Linked DNA regions of Rhinolophus ferrumequinum. The protein of the gene in region 2 purifies or fractionates together with the protein of the main gene of each other region. This does not show direct contact. Links are inferred from orthologs where the notes say so. Each region holds a gene or a part of one and is shown on either strand. Other genes may lie near its edges.

Region 1 (7,016 bases), on a different chromosome or scaffold from region 2:
AATTCCTTGCCCTGATGTAGCTTACCTCCTACAGCTTACGTTCTAGGGGTGAAGTGAAGGTAGGAGACAGACAATAGACAAGTAAAAAATAAATATAGATAATGGTTCACAATCGCAAACAAATAAAATGTGAGGTGGACATGCTTTACTTAGAAACTTTAGGAAAGTCCTCTTTGAGGAGATAACATATAAGCTGAGATCTGAAATAATGAGGAGCCACTAATGCTGGAGGTGGGAACAAATACAAAGGCCTAGGCAGCTCTGTTTGGGAAACTGGCAGCCTGCATGGCTAGAGCACAGTGAAAAGAAAACAAAGGATATGACAAATAATACCGGAAAGGCAGGCACAGGCTAGATCACAAAGGGCTTCATCAGGAACACTAAGGACTTTTGAGTTTTATTTTAAGTGCTATAGGAAGCCACTGAAGAGTTTAATATAGCATAAGAACTGATCATTTTTTCATTTTTACCAGTTAAAGAGATAAAGGCTGAGACCTATGATGGAGATAGAATTGCCAGAACTTAATAGCACTGCTCAACTTTTCATGTCCAAAACTACACATTAAAATGCCTTTAACCTACCTACATTGGGCATGTGTGACTTTTTTAATGGATGTGTTTTATAAGGTTTAAAATAATTTAAGATAAGAAAATGCCACATACCGAACAACAGTATACCTTACATTTACAATATATGGCAAACATTCAAATTACCTCATAAACTTTAAGGTTAAGAAAAGCATTCACATCTGAATAGCAATTGACCTTATAAAAAACAGATGCAGTTGACAGTTTATCATTTATAATTAAAACATGATTACCAGCATTTGAAATCTTTTCAGAGCAGGCAGTGCCTGCATTTCCTGGGGCAACCAACACCTGTTTGACATGATTAGACTGTGCAAGTTTCCACGCCAGTGCATGTTCTCTTCCTCCATTGCCAATTACAAGTACTCGGGCTGCCATTGCTGTCTGCAAAGTAGGAATTCAGAAGGAAAATGAGAGCTGCAGAAAGAAAACCACAATCGGTATTTCAGAATGCACATACTTTAGAAATAACAATTTTTAAATATGATGTATTCCAACAATTCATTTGTGAAAAGTTAGGATGAATTTGAGAAATGAAATAATGAGAAATATGACTGTATTCATGATTAGGGAGGTGTTTTAAAAATGAGGCAGACAGGCCTAGAGAGCTAAGTTAAGGAGTAAAATGGTGACTTTAACTCCTTATTGGATTAATAAAAACACAAAAAACAAACCTTGTATGAACAATAACCTTCTGGGTTTTTAGAAGATATAATAATCGAGCCTCAGTTAAAAATGAATCCTGATGTTTTACATCTAGACCAGAACTCAAAATAACTATTTTTAAATCTTGTGATCATCTGCTGTAGCATGAAAACAGCCATAGACAATATATAAATAAATAAATGTGGCTATGTCCAGTAAAAACTTACAGAAACAGGCAGGCCATGGGCAGTAGGTCATAGTTTGGCTATCTCTGCTCTAAGCAATAGAAAGTAATCAGAGGTTTATAAAGAATAAGCATGGCTGTGTTTTAATAAAACTATTGTTTATGGACACTGCAATTTGAATTTTAATTTTCACGTGTCATAAAAACACCGTTCTTTTTCCCCCAAACATTTAATAACGTGAAAACTATCCTTATTTGGTGGGCTGTACAAAAACAGTTGACAGGAAGGATTGGCATAAAGGTCATAGTTTGCTGACCTCCGATTTAAGAAATTAGTGCAGTATTTTAGAAAATCAGTAGAGAAGGCAAAAATCAAATTTGAATATGTCTCACATTGTTCTGGAATTTGATTCTGAGCAGGATGGGGCAACAGCTATCTCTCCACTGGTTAGCAGTGTGACTTTGGGTAAGCTCTTATTATTTCTAATTCAATTTCTTCACATCTTAAAAGATGGGAGAAAATTTGCCTTACAAGGTTACTTAAGGATGAACTGGAAGGGTATTTATATAAACAATTAGTACAATTTCTGACATTCAGCAGTAGTAAATGCTAACTTGTTATATTTTATTAAGTACTTTTACTTAAAGTAATACTTTAGAAGTTAGAAGTTCTAACAGAAAAAAAAGCAAAAGGAATGAATAATTTGGCAAATTAATTTACTAATTTTCAGAAGACATTTAATTACGTAGAAGGCAAACTGAAAATGGGAAAAAGAAAACTGAAATTTGTAACTTCTTGTGAGATGCTAGGATTACACATTTAAATAAAAACCTAAGTTGATAATAGAAAAAACTAACACTTTTTGAGCACTTACTTTGTGCCAGATGCTACATTCTAGACGCTTTTCATGAACTACTTTGCTTAATCTTCCTAATTCTATGTGATACTATTACCATCCCCATTTTACAGATAAGAAACTGAGGTACAGTTAGGTTAAGTAACTTGCAGGTCAGAGCTCATGTATTGCAACTGAAGCAATTTTTCATCAGATACTGTAACAAGGAGATGGTGGTCATTGAAAACCTGAGGGAAAAAAATTACTAAATTATCTTCTCAGAAAGGAAAAAGTTATTTTAATTTAACAGAAAACACAGATTTGCCATGTGCATTGAAACATCTGAAAGAAACACAGCTTTAAAACTAGAGAAAATATTACATTTTGTTTGAACAAGAAGGGGAAGAGAAGACTCAGCCTGAACGAATCTACACCAGGAGTGGTCAGGCCCAGGCTCTAATCCGGGTGCCTTGGTTTGGGTTGAGACACTGTCCCTTATTAACCAGGATACGTTGAGGGACTTAACTTTCTCGGGCCTCAGTTATCCAAGTGAGTAACATAACGAGATGAAGAGAGCCAGGTAAAGCCTGGCTTTCAATGGATTTGGTGAGTAACATAAAGTAAAAACCAATTACAGAGGTGGACTAATCTGCTAGACACAATGGGTGCATAACAAGAAAATATACAACTTATATTTATGACCTAAAAAAAGAAGCATAAAGATACAAAAGGCCTGAATCTTAGAAAGCAGGGAAAGTGACAGATCCAATGTAAACCTCAGTTAAAAATGAAAAGCACATGGCGAACCCCCACTCAGTGCATTTAAAAATTGAGTATTCCTATAGCCAAACCAGTTTCTACAGCTATCTCACAACTGGAGTTAGTTCATTCAATTCCTAATATTAGATCCCCAAACCAAAGCATAAATGTACTTTACTTAAAAGCGCCGAGGGCTTACGCACGAACACAATGTCGACTCAAGGCCTTCTGGCCGCTGGCACTCACAAGTTCGACTGCGCGCTTGGAGCTCGAGCGCCCGCGCGCGCCGGAAGTCAGCCCACCGGGATCCGGGGCGCGCGCCTCCTCCCCGCTCCGGGCCCGCCCCGCGGTGGGCTTCGCTTCCCCATTGGTCAACGCAAACCGTGGTCTCTGCCGCGAGGTAATCAGTGTGTTCCCTCCCATTCTTGGGTGCGGCCTGAGCCCACTCCAGCGCAAAGCTAGCAAGCCCTTCCTTGCGTGCTTATGTGATACTACAGCATCAGGTGCCACCTAAGGTCTTTATTCCTCCCGGAGAGCGTCCCGGTCTCTGAGGAGGGGGAGTGTCCCAAAACGCTGAATCCACACTTAGCTAATTGTGTGTTGCTAACGAGTCAGAATCGAGCAGCTACAGTGATAGTCTCGCCTGGCTCCTGACTAGCATGCACCAGGCTTTGAACGCAGGTCGCGCAAGACTTCCTATTGCTTAAAAACAAAACTGATTATAGGCTATCATGGGGTAAAATCGTGTCCTTCCTATTGGCATCTCAGTGGGGGCGGGCGCTGATTAATGCTTTCCCGGATGCATCTCCCTTGCTGAAACAACTTGGGAATGTCGGAGGCCCGGTATCCAACGTGTTGCCCTTCTTACCCCCTTTCCTCATAGTATTTAATCTCGGGAGTTTAGTGGCTAAAGTAAGCCTCTTAAGCTTCCAAACATTGTTGGGGACTGACAACTTAAACTGACAAAGTCGCCTCGAGAGATTTCTCCTGTAATGGCGCCTGCGTCAGTCACTAACATGGCGGACAGAGTCGTGCGCGGCGCAAACGTCAGCAGCTCTACCCAAGCCGCTCAGAAACAGCGGAGGAGAGCAGGGCCGTGCTCACTGATTGGTACATTGGCAGAGCGTGCAGATCCGGACGCTCCCACAGGAGCCAATCAGGACTGCGAGAGACGGAATTGGCCCCTGCGCCTCCTCCCGAGGCATTCTGGGAGCCTGGAGGACTAGCGAGGAGGAGTTGAGAGAACGGAGCGGACGCCATGGCGACCAACATCGAGCAGATTTTTAGGTCTTTCGTGGTCAGTAAATTCCGGGAAATTCAACAGGAGCTTTCAAGGTAGGCGCTTCCCAGACTCTTCTGCTCCCAAGGGATCGATAGGGCATCATGTAGTCTTCCATACCACCTTTATTCAGAGACGCCGTCGTTCCCTGCCTCAGGCCCCGCTACAGCCCCGCCTGGGCCTGGGATCCATTTTCCGCCCCCCCCACCCCCATCCGCTCCCTCCCTTCCCAGCGAGGAACTTCGCTCTTTCCGAGGTAATCCCAGACTCTTCTCCAGGACCGAGTTAAGAAGCTCACTCTTCTCTCTCGTTTGGTCGTCCCCTACCCTTTAGTTAGTAGGCCTGGTTGTCCACTAGGGACGGGCCTAGTTCCTCCTCAGCTCCTCCTCCGCCGCCGCGTTTCCCCTCCCCCTCTCAGCCTCCGCGGATTTCGCCGGTCGGTGCCTATGACCGGAAAGGGTCTCTAACGGCCGTTTTTTTGACTAAACTTAAATCCGCTTTTTACTGCATGCTTCAGACCATTTGGGGGTCGGGATCCTCTAATTAGATTATTTGGGCCCTAGTGTCCTGTGGCTTCCACCAGGCAGCATTGTAAGTTTCGGAATTCAAATTAAAAAAACTCAATTAATGTTAGCTGCTTTGACAAAAATTTCGAGTTGAGGATGGAAGGGGACTTTGAATTACTACTAATTTCTTAATTTAGCAAGTGAAAGATGGGCTTTGTGTGTAGATCTAAATTTTTATTTGCTATCGTTGCCCCAATTGATATATTTGAACAACACATTCCATTTTGCCATTGCTGGTAGACTACGTAGTTTATCCTTGGTTCCACAAAATTTGAACGAGGAGAGAGTTCCAAAGAAATAGTTGTTTACTCAGAGGAAAATAGTGTGGGTAATGTGGTTGTTCACTGGTTGTCTTTCAGTATTTTTTGCTTTGTATAACGTAAATATTTGTTCCGAGTCCAAATGTTTTTGCTAGTTTTAGTTTAAAAGTTGAGAGCAGGAGCAATAAAAATCAACGGAAAACGCAATTGTAAATTAAGCGCTCGAGTTAACAGCGTTATTGGAGCAACGATATAGTATTGCTAGGATTATTTTTTACAGGATATATTGTATTTTAAATGGGAAATATATCCGCTTACTCATTCCATTGCTTTCAAAAATTTTGTTACATGCTTGTATTTTCAGGATGATGGGAAAAGACCTGAGCTAAGGGAATATGTAATACATATATTTTGGGGGGGATACATTCTAATAGTCTCGTGCAGTAAGTGGTTGTGTTTGCTTATTGTAATGTCTTTTATACCTTTTAAAATCGGTTTTTGTGTTAGAAAGTGTTTTGTTGTGAAAAAATTTTAAAAAGTTTAAAAGGAACAAAATTAAAAACCACCACAGTTATTGATGTTCTTTGATTTTTTTTTTTTCCTGTGTGGATAGATGCACATACATGTCTTGTGATATGTGATTATCTTGTGTTGGTTGTTTTTTCACCTAATATATTGTGAGCAAGGTTGTCTTTAATCAATCTCCATAGTCTTTTGGGACTTATGGGACATTTTTTTCATGGTTCCGTAGAATTCTGTAGGAATGTGTTGATGGATGTTTAATGGTTTGAAATTTTCATCCCTTTTGAGGAAAACATCCTGATAGCTTTAAGATGGTTACTTTCTCATAGACTGACTTTTTTTAGTTGTACTTTTCTGATTTTTAAATCTGTTGCCTTTTTAGTGAGGTAATTACGTATGTGTAAGTGCTTAGGAAAAGTGCTTTGGAAGGAAATTCTAAAGAATATCAGAGAAAGCAATTTATTACTAGAGGAATATTCAGCTCCTCAAATAACATGTAATACATTATCGGTCGAAAAACAGATTTTTGATATTTGCCATTTCCATGAGCTTTATGTCCCATCTATTTTTACATATGTCAATTTCAGTAAGGAGACTGAAATTTAGATAGTTAAAATAGGTTGTTTATTATATATAGATGGTGGTTAAGAGGATGAGCTCTGGCTTTGAATAGCAGCTTCACCTCTTAATAGCTGTGTGACCTACAGCAAGGTTTCTTGTCTTTTCTGTGCCTCATATTCCTTATTTATAAAATCAGAATAATAGTGCTGATCTTAAGGTCTCATTAGAATTAAATGAGTTTAAAAAATGTAGAACCTTGTGACACTAATAGTCAACAAATGTTAATTATGTGCATCATTGTATTAGAAAACCAAATGTTCCTTAATTAGTTAACTACCAATTTTTTTTGATCATTCAGACTTTTCATCAGGTAGTGGAGCATAATTCCATCTGTTTTGTTAGCTAAAATGTAAGTTAAATTGAATGTGTTCTTGAAATTATTTTTTAAAACAATTTTGCAAATTTATACAAAAATAGTGGAAATGACCATGTAAATGACATGTTCTTACGTTTGTTAAGATTCTTGTAAAACAAAACAAAACAACCTTTAAAAAAAACCCAAAACCCACAAAACAAATGAACAAAACAAAAACAAACTCATAGATACAGGAAACAGAGTGGTGGTTATGAGAGGGGGAGAATGTTGGGGAAGAGGGAGGAAGAGGTGAAGGGGTCAATGGTGTGGCGATAGATGATGGTATCTGTCTAGACTTTTGATAGTGACCACTTGTGGTGTATATAGATGATGGATGATTATGTGCACTTCAAGACACACACACACACACACACACACTTTACCCCAATTAAAAAAAAATG
Region 2 (8,007 bases):
GACTCCCAGTCTCCCCAAGTCCCTCTTCCACCAGCTCTTCTCTCCAGCGTGCCACTCTTTACACCCTAAACCAAGTCACCATGGTTTCCCAAGTACTATAATTGGCCAGCTCCCATTATGTACCTCTCCCGTCCTCCACAATCCATTCACAATCCATCTTCTTTGGAATTCTCCCCAAACCCCCATAGAATATAAGCTTCAGGAGTAGCTTTGTTCAGCTTGTTCAAAGCTCTATCACCGCCTCCTAGGAAAGGCATGCAAATACTTATTGAATACATGAATACATAAATCATATCAAGCATTCCTTTAAAATAATATCTTGATTCAAAGGATTAAGTTAAAAATGACATTGTCTTAATCAAACACTTATGTAATTGGACCAATCTGCTCTTGCTAATTAATTACCTTGCAGACTAACCAGTTAATTTAGTCACTGGCGGGGGGGAGGGGAGATTTCCCTCAAAGCTTATCAAATACATACAACAGACAATAGAAGAAACTGACAGATTAATCTGTGAGTAACAGTTGAATACTTGGATACACACTAATTCTTTATAAACATACCACATAAATCCAAACTGCAGCACACCAAAAAAAGGCTCTTAGCCATTAGGAAAGTCATACCCTGAAATATGAAAATATGCTACACACATTGACTTAACTAAAACTGTTTTTCTGTATGTATGCATATATTTAACACACATATGTATATATACATACACATAAGTATACATATATACACACAGAGTCATTCCCCAAAATTGGGGGCAGGGTTTTTTCAATTCTTTTTTACGTTTCTGAACATAATGAGCAATGTGGAAATAAATGCTTTGAATTGAAAGTTGTGACTAAAACTCAAGATCCTAAACATTAGTTCGCCTTACCTACTGGCTCAACTTTAATCGTTCATCAAAGGAAATCCCAGATTGAAGATTGACTTGAAAGCTAGCATTAATTGTTTTAAAGCATCTAAAACTACCAAATTACCCATCAGTTCCTTAAGTTCTTAATTTAAGTATTTTTCCCACACTCTGTAAGTTTTTTGAGGCATTAGGTGGATATCCATATTTTGTGAAATCCTGAACATAGTTTCAAATTATATTCCATTTAAAAGGAACAAAACTCCTGTCATAATAATATCATGATATACATTAGCAATAACTTAGGCAGTTTGCATAGATACCAACGGGTACGAAATTTGCTAAGCGGAGACCAAGGCGACCAGGAAAGAAGAAAGTCTAGGAATGCTGCAGGCAGCCCCCCCGAAAGGAAACAAAAAGGAAATACTTGGTGATTTTATTAAAAGATCATGGACTGTCATTCCTCATAGTACCAAAAATACCTTCCTTGCTCAAAAAGAAGAGCAAAGCCACAAATCTAGACAGAGTAAAGATGTTGAACGCTGGCAGATGTTTTTTTTTTAATTAAGAGAAAAAGGAAAAAGAGGCGGCGGCGCTCTGCAGTCTCGGAGCAGCTCTCCAGGAAAGGCTTCTCGGGAGCCGGCCGCTCCCACTACGGTCCGCAGCCAGGCTGGAGGTGGCCGGCGACTGGCACGTTTTAAATATCACCACCCTATTCATCAACTCGCGGCACAATGAGAGGCCGGGAAGCCGCGCCGGGGACCGCCCGCGCACACGCCCACCGGTCCAGCGCAGCAGTCACGTTCGGCCCAAGCACAAAGTTTCGAATACAAACCCAAGCGCCGAAATGCACAGGTCTCAGCGTTGAACTCGCGCCAGGAACACTCCCGGAGCGAACCTCTTGACAACTGGCTCGGGTTTTCAGCCGACAGGCAAGGGCCGGGGAGGACGAGGACGCGACACACACACTCACACACGCACTCTCTCGTACACTCGGCTCCTCCTCTCTCGAGCCCCGGTGCCCAGGTGGGAGCAGGTAGGCAGCCTCATGCCGCAGCCGGCGCCAGCGCCCCTCCGGGGAAAGGCCTGCGACCTCCGGGGACAGCTCGGCGCGCAGGCGACCGGGCGCACGCCCGGCACCTCCTCATCCAACCGCCCCGACGGCCGCGGCGACTTAGGTCCCAGGGACCGCCCGGGGATGCTCAACCCGCCGGCCGCGGGCTCGCGCGCGCCCCTCCCCCGCCCTCCGCCCCTCCCCCCGGGCCGCCCGCGGGGCGCGCAGGAGGCTAGCGCCCGCGTCCCTGGGAATCAGCCTGCCCGCTGGCCCTGGGGATCCGGGCAACTTCCCGGGCACCGTCGCGGGCTGCCCCCGACCGGCCGGGGGCGGGGATCCGGGTGCTAGCGCCGCGTGGACTCACTTTTTCGGATGTTTCTCTCTCTTCGGCCTCCGCTTTCGGGCCTGAATGGCCAGCACTGGGGAAAGAAGAGACATACATTAACGGTCAGGCAGGCCGGCCTGCGGGGCCGCGTGGCAGGGAAGAGGGGACGCCGTGGGCCACTCACCTTTCCGGGAGCTCATACCGACGCGGCGGAAGGAGGGCGGGGGGGCTCTGCGACGGCGGCCGCAGCGGTGGCGGCGGCGGCGACGCGGGAGCGGAGCCGGGCTGCAGCCTCCACTCGCTCCGCCAGCCGGGAGGAGGCGGGAACCGCGCCTGCGCCGCCGCTGCTGCTGCCGCCGCCGCTCCCGCGGGGGACCCAGCAAGACCCGCCCCCGGCCAGACCCGCCCCGCCCCCCCACCCGGTGGGGTCCTGACCCCCGCGCCCGGTTCCTTCCGCGCGCCCCGCACCCCCACGCCCGCCCCGCGGGTGCGGAAACGACCCCCCACGACCTCCGCCGCGCCGGCCCTCGCCTCCCCGCCCCCTCCCGCGGCCGGGGCCTCCGCCTCTCGCGCCCCCGCGGCTGGCCCGGGCCTCCCGCCTCTCACCCGCACCCGGCCGCGCGACCCTCGTTCTCCAGCCACAGCCTCACCCCGGCCAGTGGCGCGGCCCGCCTGTCCATGTGCCCTTCCTTGGCCCGCGCCTCCGCGGGTCTCACACCACCGCTCTTCGCGCGGCCTCTTCTCCCCCTTGGCTCCTCTACATCCTTGCATCCCCATGAGCGCCGCTTTCTCCCCTCGGGCGAGTGTGGAAAGGTCACAGGACCAAGAGCTGGGCAACCTGGGTCCTTCACTAGCTGTGTGACCTTGGAGAAGTCATCTTATCTCTCGCCTTTACTTACCCCACAGGATTGCTTGACTTTAATGAAGGAAAAGTTGCAAATAGCATGGAAAGTAGGTTGGCGCTTTTTACACGTTAATTCAAGCCGCGCTCAATAAATACCATGTGTACGACTGTGTAACACAACAACCCCACCAAGTAATTATTTTTTCCTTTTTACAGTGAGGAAACTGAGTCCTAAAGAGGTCAAACAGTTTACTTAGCAATGATTCAAATTTAGGCCTGGCTGATCCAAACTTTCTGCGTATCATGCATGCTTCCTAATAAAGATGTGAATTAAGTTGATGGTGGGACAAAATGATAACTGCAATGTTTTCTTTTTTATTTAAGTAATTATAATACTTTGAAAGATAACCCGGATCATTTACTCTCTCTTTGGTTACACAACGGTATTCTTAACTGACCAAAGTAGCTAGCCTTTATTCTAAAGACGCTAAACCCAAAGAACAAAAAGTTCTGCTTGGACTTCAAGAGCTTTTTACTTTCTCAACTTTTTTTCAAAAATATTAAACCTACAGAAAAGTTACGAGTAAAGTATAATGAGCATCCATGTTAACCCCTATTCACCAATTTTTAAGGTTTCACCACATTTGCTTTACCTATGTATATGTGTGTGGTGTGTATGGGGCTTTTGTTTGGTTATTTTGTTTTTACTGAATCATTTGAGTTTTTCACAGACATCGTTATCCTTTACCCCTGAATATTTCAATAAATATCTACTAAGAACAAAGATATTCTCCTACATAATCAGAATTCCATTATTACTCCAAGAAAATTTAATATTAATACTATTATCTGTAATATACCGAAGCCATATTCAAATTCTCAAAATGTCTGTTATAGCTCACTTTTTTCCCCCCAATCCAGGATACAATCAAGGATCAAGCATTGCGCTTAGTTTGTTATGTATTTTTAAACTCCTTTAGTCTAGAGTAATCCCTGGTTTTGTTTTGTTTTTTCTGTTATAACATTGACTCTTTGGAAGAATCCAATTCCACTGTTTTGCAGAATGCTCCTCAGTTTGTTCTCTATTAGAGTCAAGTTAAATAATTGTATCAGGCACTCTATCTAGATGATATTGTATCCGTCTTAGCACATTGCCACTACAGAAAGGATATCACGTCAGTTTGTTCCATTATTGATGATGTTACATTTAATCATTTCTCCATGGTGAAGGTACTTTTTTCTTTTGTATTTGAAAACTAGTCTGTGTGAAAAATGGGCAACAGATTCAAGAAACAGACATTTCTCCTAAGAAAATATACAAGTGGATGAAAACGTGCTCAACATCATTAGAGAAATGAAAAAGCAAAACCACATGAAATAGCACTTCACACCTAATAGGATGACTATAATTTTTTTTAATGGAAAATAAGTATTGGCAAGGATGTAGAGACATTGGAATCCTCATACATTACTGGTGAGAATGTAAAATGGTGCAATCACTGTGGGAAATAGTGCTACAGTTCTTCAAGAAGCTAACCAATGAATTATTAGCAATTCTATGGTTCTAGGTACTCAAACAAATCCTTGTACACAAATGGTCAGAGCAGCATGAATCACAGTAGCCAAAAGGTTAGAAACAACCCAAAAATATCCACCCATGTATGAATGGATAAACAAATTGTGGTAAAGACATACAATGAAATATTTTTCAGCCATAAAAAGGAATGCAGTGCTGATACAATGTGCTACAATATGGATGAACCTCAAAACCATGCCAAGTGAAAGAAACCAGGCACAAAAAGTCACATATTATGAGTCAATTTTATGAAACGTCCAGAATAAGCAAATCCACAGAAAGCAGTTTGGTGGTGGCAATGGCTGGGGGGAGGGAAATGAGGAGCCACTGCTTAATGGGTACAGGGTTTTGTTTTGTAGTGAGGAAAATGTTTTGGAGCTAGGTAGAGGTGGTGGTGGCCACCTCTATCTGTAAATGTACTAAATGCTGCTGAATTGTTCACTCTAAAATGGTCAGTTTCATGTTATGTGAATTTCACCTCAGTTGTTTTGTTTGTTTGTTTGTTTTGTTTTTTAAGTAATCTGTGGGATAATACTTTGAGACTGTGTGAGCCTTTCCCCTAGAATCTTTCACTCTTTGTGTTAGCATCCATTCATGATGCTTGCCTGAATCAATTATTACTATAGTGGTTGTAGAATGATATTACACTCCTATCATTTCATCTGTTCCATCTATGCTAATTAGGTGATATTTTTATGTGAGGAAAGCTTTCATTTCGTTCCCACCACCTCTGTTTTCTGTTTGTTTTTGGCTTTTTTGTTTTTGTTTTTAGTAGCAATATTGACAGTAATTACTATCACCTTAATTTTTGATTCTTGAATTATCTTATATTTGACCAGGGAAGACACTTTCCACTTGCAATCCTTTGCACATGTCCCAGTTTTTGAGTACCTGTTTACTTTCTAGCACATGATATTCCAGGAAACCTGTGCTTTCCCCAACCAGGAACCAGAACCAGCCATTTCTCCAGTTTTGGCTCCTTACAGAAGGTGATTAGAAGCTTTAAACCAGAGAAATCTGAGTTTAAAATCAGTTTTTTATTTTTAACAGCTTTATTGAGACATAATTCACATACCACACAATTCACCCATTTAAAGTTCAAACTTCAATGGTTCTCAGTATATGCACATGGTGTGCAACCACCACCAAAGTCTAATTTTAAAACATTCTGTCATTCCTAAGAGATACTCACTACATACCTATTAGGCTTCTTCTCCCAACCTCCCTTTGCCCAAGCCCTAGGCAACCACTGATCTCCTTTCTGTCTCTATAGACTCACCTATTCTGGACAAATCATATAAACACAATCATACAATATGTGGCATTTTGTGACTGTCTTCTTTCACTTAATGCTGAAACCAATTTCTGCTACTTAATTTCTGAATAACATTGGGCAAGTTACTTAATTACTGGAAAACAGTAATAATATTAATACCGACCATCCTAGATCAATATGATAATCAAAGAAGATAAGAAAATATTCAATAAATACGAATTATCATTAACAATGGTTGAGAAAGATTATCCAATCTGTTTGCTGGATCTCTTGTATTCATTTATTCAACAAATACATACCAAACACCTATTATATAGCAGGCATTATTCTAGATATTGAGTCTACAGCAGTGAACAAAAGCACACAAAAATCTCCTTGCCCTCATGGAGCTTACATTCTACTGCCAGAAGACAGAAAATAAACTAAATATGTAAAATAGATATAAACTATGCTTACTATAGTAAATGGCAGTAACATCTATGAAAAGGACAAAAAAACAAAACAGTAACCTGTTGGGAAAGTGTTTAGGAAAGTCCCTGAGAAGGTAACAAAGACCTAAAGTCTTTAAGGTCTAGTCTTTTTTACTTCTATAAATTAGGAGAGAGCTCTATTTGCCACTGAGAATATTTGTGAATTGCTTTGAATGTGTTAAATTAAAATAAACCAACCTAATTGTCAATAAGCACCTTAACATGTACTATATTAGATGCTTAAAGAAAGAATAACAAATTAAAGACCTAGTCTCTGCCAATGTATAAATTAAAGTTTTCTTTAAGATGCATCATAATTTAGAATGACATTTTAAAGGAAATACCAAAAAAGGAAAGGAAAAGAGTAATAGAGTATGGGTTTAATTTTTTTATTCTACCATCATTTATGGCTACATAAATAATTAATTATGTGAATATTATAAGTCAGAAGGGGAAGTATTAGAGCTCTGTAACAGTCCAAAAGAAGTGAAAAGGGCAGTACATATGCATTTCCCCCCAACCTAGTACAACAGAATTCAAGACAAAAGTATCATATTAATTTTTACCAAATACAAGAGAAAATTACAGAATGCTGTAAATCCAACCACTCTCTGATATTTCCAAGTACAGCTACTAAATCATGCTGTGTGTGTGTGTGTGCGCGCGCGCGCGCGCGCGCGCGCGCGCGCGTATGTGTGTGAATCTTAGGAGATATATTCAATATGCCATAGAATTGGAAACAGATTTGAGAGGTCATATAATCCATCTTGGGGCCTGTAGTGGGTGAGAACCTGGCCTCCTTCTAAAGGCTCTCCATCACTTAAATTTTTAGGAAAATTACTTTATATCTGATCTACACTTTTTATTATGAAGCTTAGGCCTGTCTCTTGTTATTTCATTACTGTGTATTTCTCAGGGGCACCGGCACCCTTGTAACAGCAGTGTAACACAGAAATTAGCGTACAGAAGGGGGCAGACGGGTGTGGCTCAGTTGGTTAGAGCGGGAGCTCTGGGCAACCGGGCTGCCGGTTCGATTCCCCCATGGGCCAGCGAGCTGCGCTCTCCACAACTAGAATGAAGTCAATGAGCGCCGCTGAGCTTCCCAGTGCCCAGATGGCTCAGTTGGTTGGAGCGCGTCCTCTCAACCACAAGGTTGCCGGTTGGACTCCCACAAGGGATGGTGGGCTGCGCCCCCTGCAACTAGAAAACGGCAACTGGACCTGGAGCTGAGCTGCGCCCTCCACAACTAAGATTGAAAGGACAACAACTTGACTTGGAAAAGTCCCGGAAGTACACACTGTTCCCCAATAAAGTCCTGTTCCCTTTCCCCAATAAAATCTAAAAAGAAAAAAAGAAAAGACATTAGAGTACAGAGTAGTGGAGCCAGACTCCCAGGGTTCAAATCCTAGTTCTGCCATTAGCTAGCTGGGTAACTTGGGCAAGTTACTCAGTTTCCTGATCTGCAAAATGTACACAGTAATATTACCTACCTTATACATTTGTACCTTATACATTTGTTGCGAGGATTGAATGAGTTATTTCACATCAAATGCTTAGAGAAGGATCTAAGTGTTCAATAAGCATTAGCTATTATACATATGC

The links. The genes of interacting proteins can lie anywhere in the genome.
Region 1: the proteins of SRPK2 (region 2) and SON purify together in Homo sapiens (affinity purification with mass spectrometry; 4 studies listed by BioGRID and IntAct, with this or other methods). This does not show direct contact. The link is inferred for Rhinolophus ferrumequinum from reciprocal best matches to the Homo sapiens genes SRPK2 and SON.

What each region holds. Positions count from the first base shown.
Region 1 is NC_046285.1:99,475,812-99,482,827, forward strand, and holds the start of SON (protein SON), read left to right. Parts: upstream 1-4,000; 5' UTR 4,001-4,270; coding exon 4,271-4,347; intron 4,348-7,016. Other genes in the region: GART (trifunctional purine biosynthetic protein adenosine-3), read right to left, coding at 822-966. UniProt on the Homo sapiens protein: RNA-binding protein that acts as a mRNA splicing cofactor by promoting efficient splicing of transcripts that possess weak splice sites.
Region 2 is NC_046303.1:48,818,208-48,826,214, forward strand, and holds the start of SRPK2 (SRSF protein kinase 2), read right to left. Parts: upstream 3,020-8,007; 5' UTR 3,017-3,019; coding exon 2,890-3,016; intron 2,557-2,889; exon of another isoform or gene 2,440-2,556; coding exon of another isoform or gene 2,424-2,439; intron 2,334-2,423; coding exon 2,279-2,333; intron 1-2,278. UniProt on the Homo sapiens protein: Serine/arginine-rich protein-specific kinase which specifically phosphorylates its substrates at serine residues located in regions rich in arginine/serine dipeptides, known as RS domains and is involved in the phosphorylation of SR splicing factors and the regulation of splicing.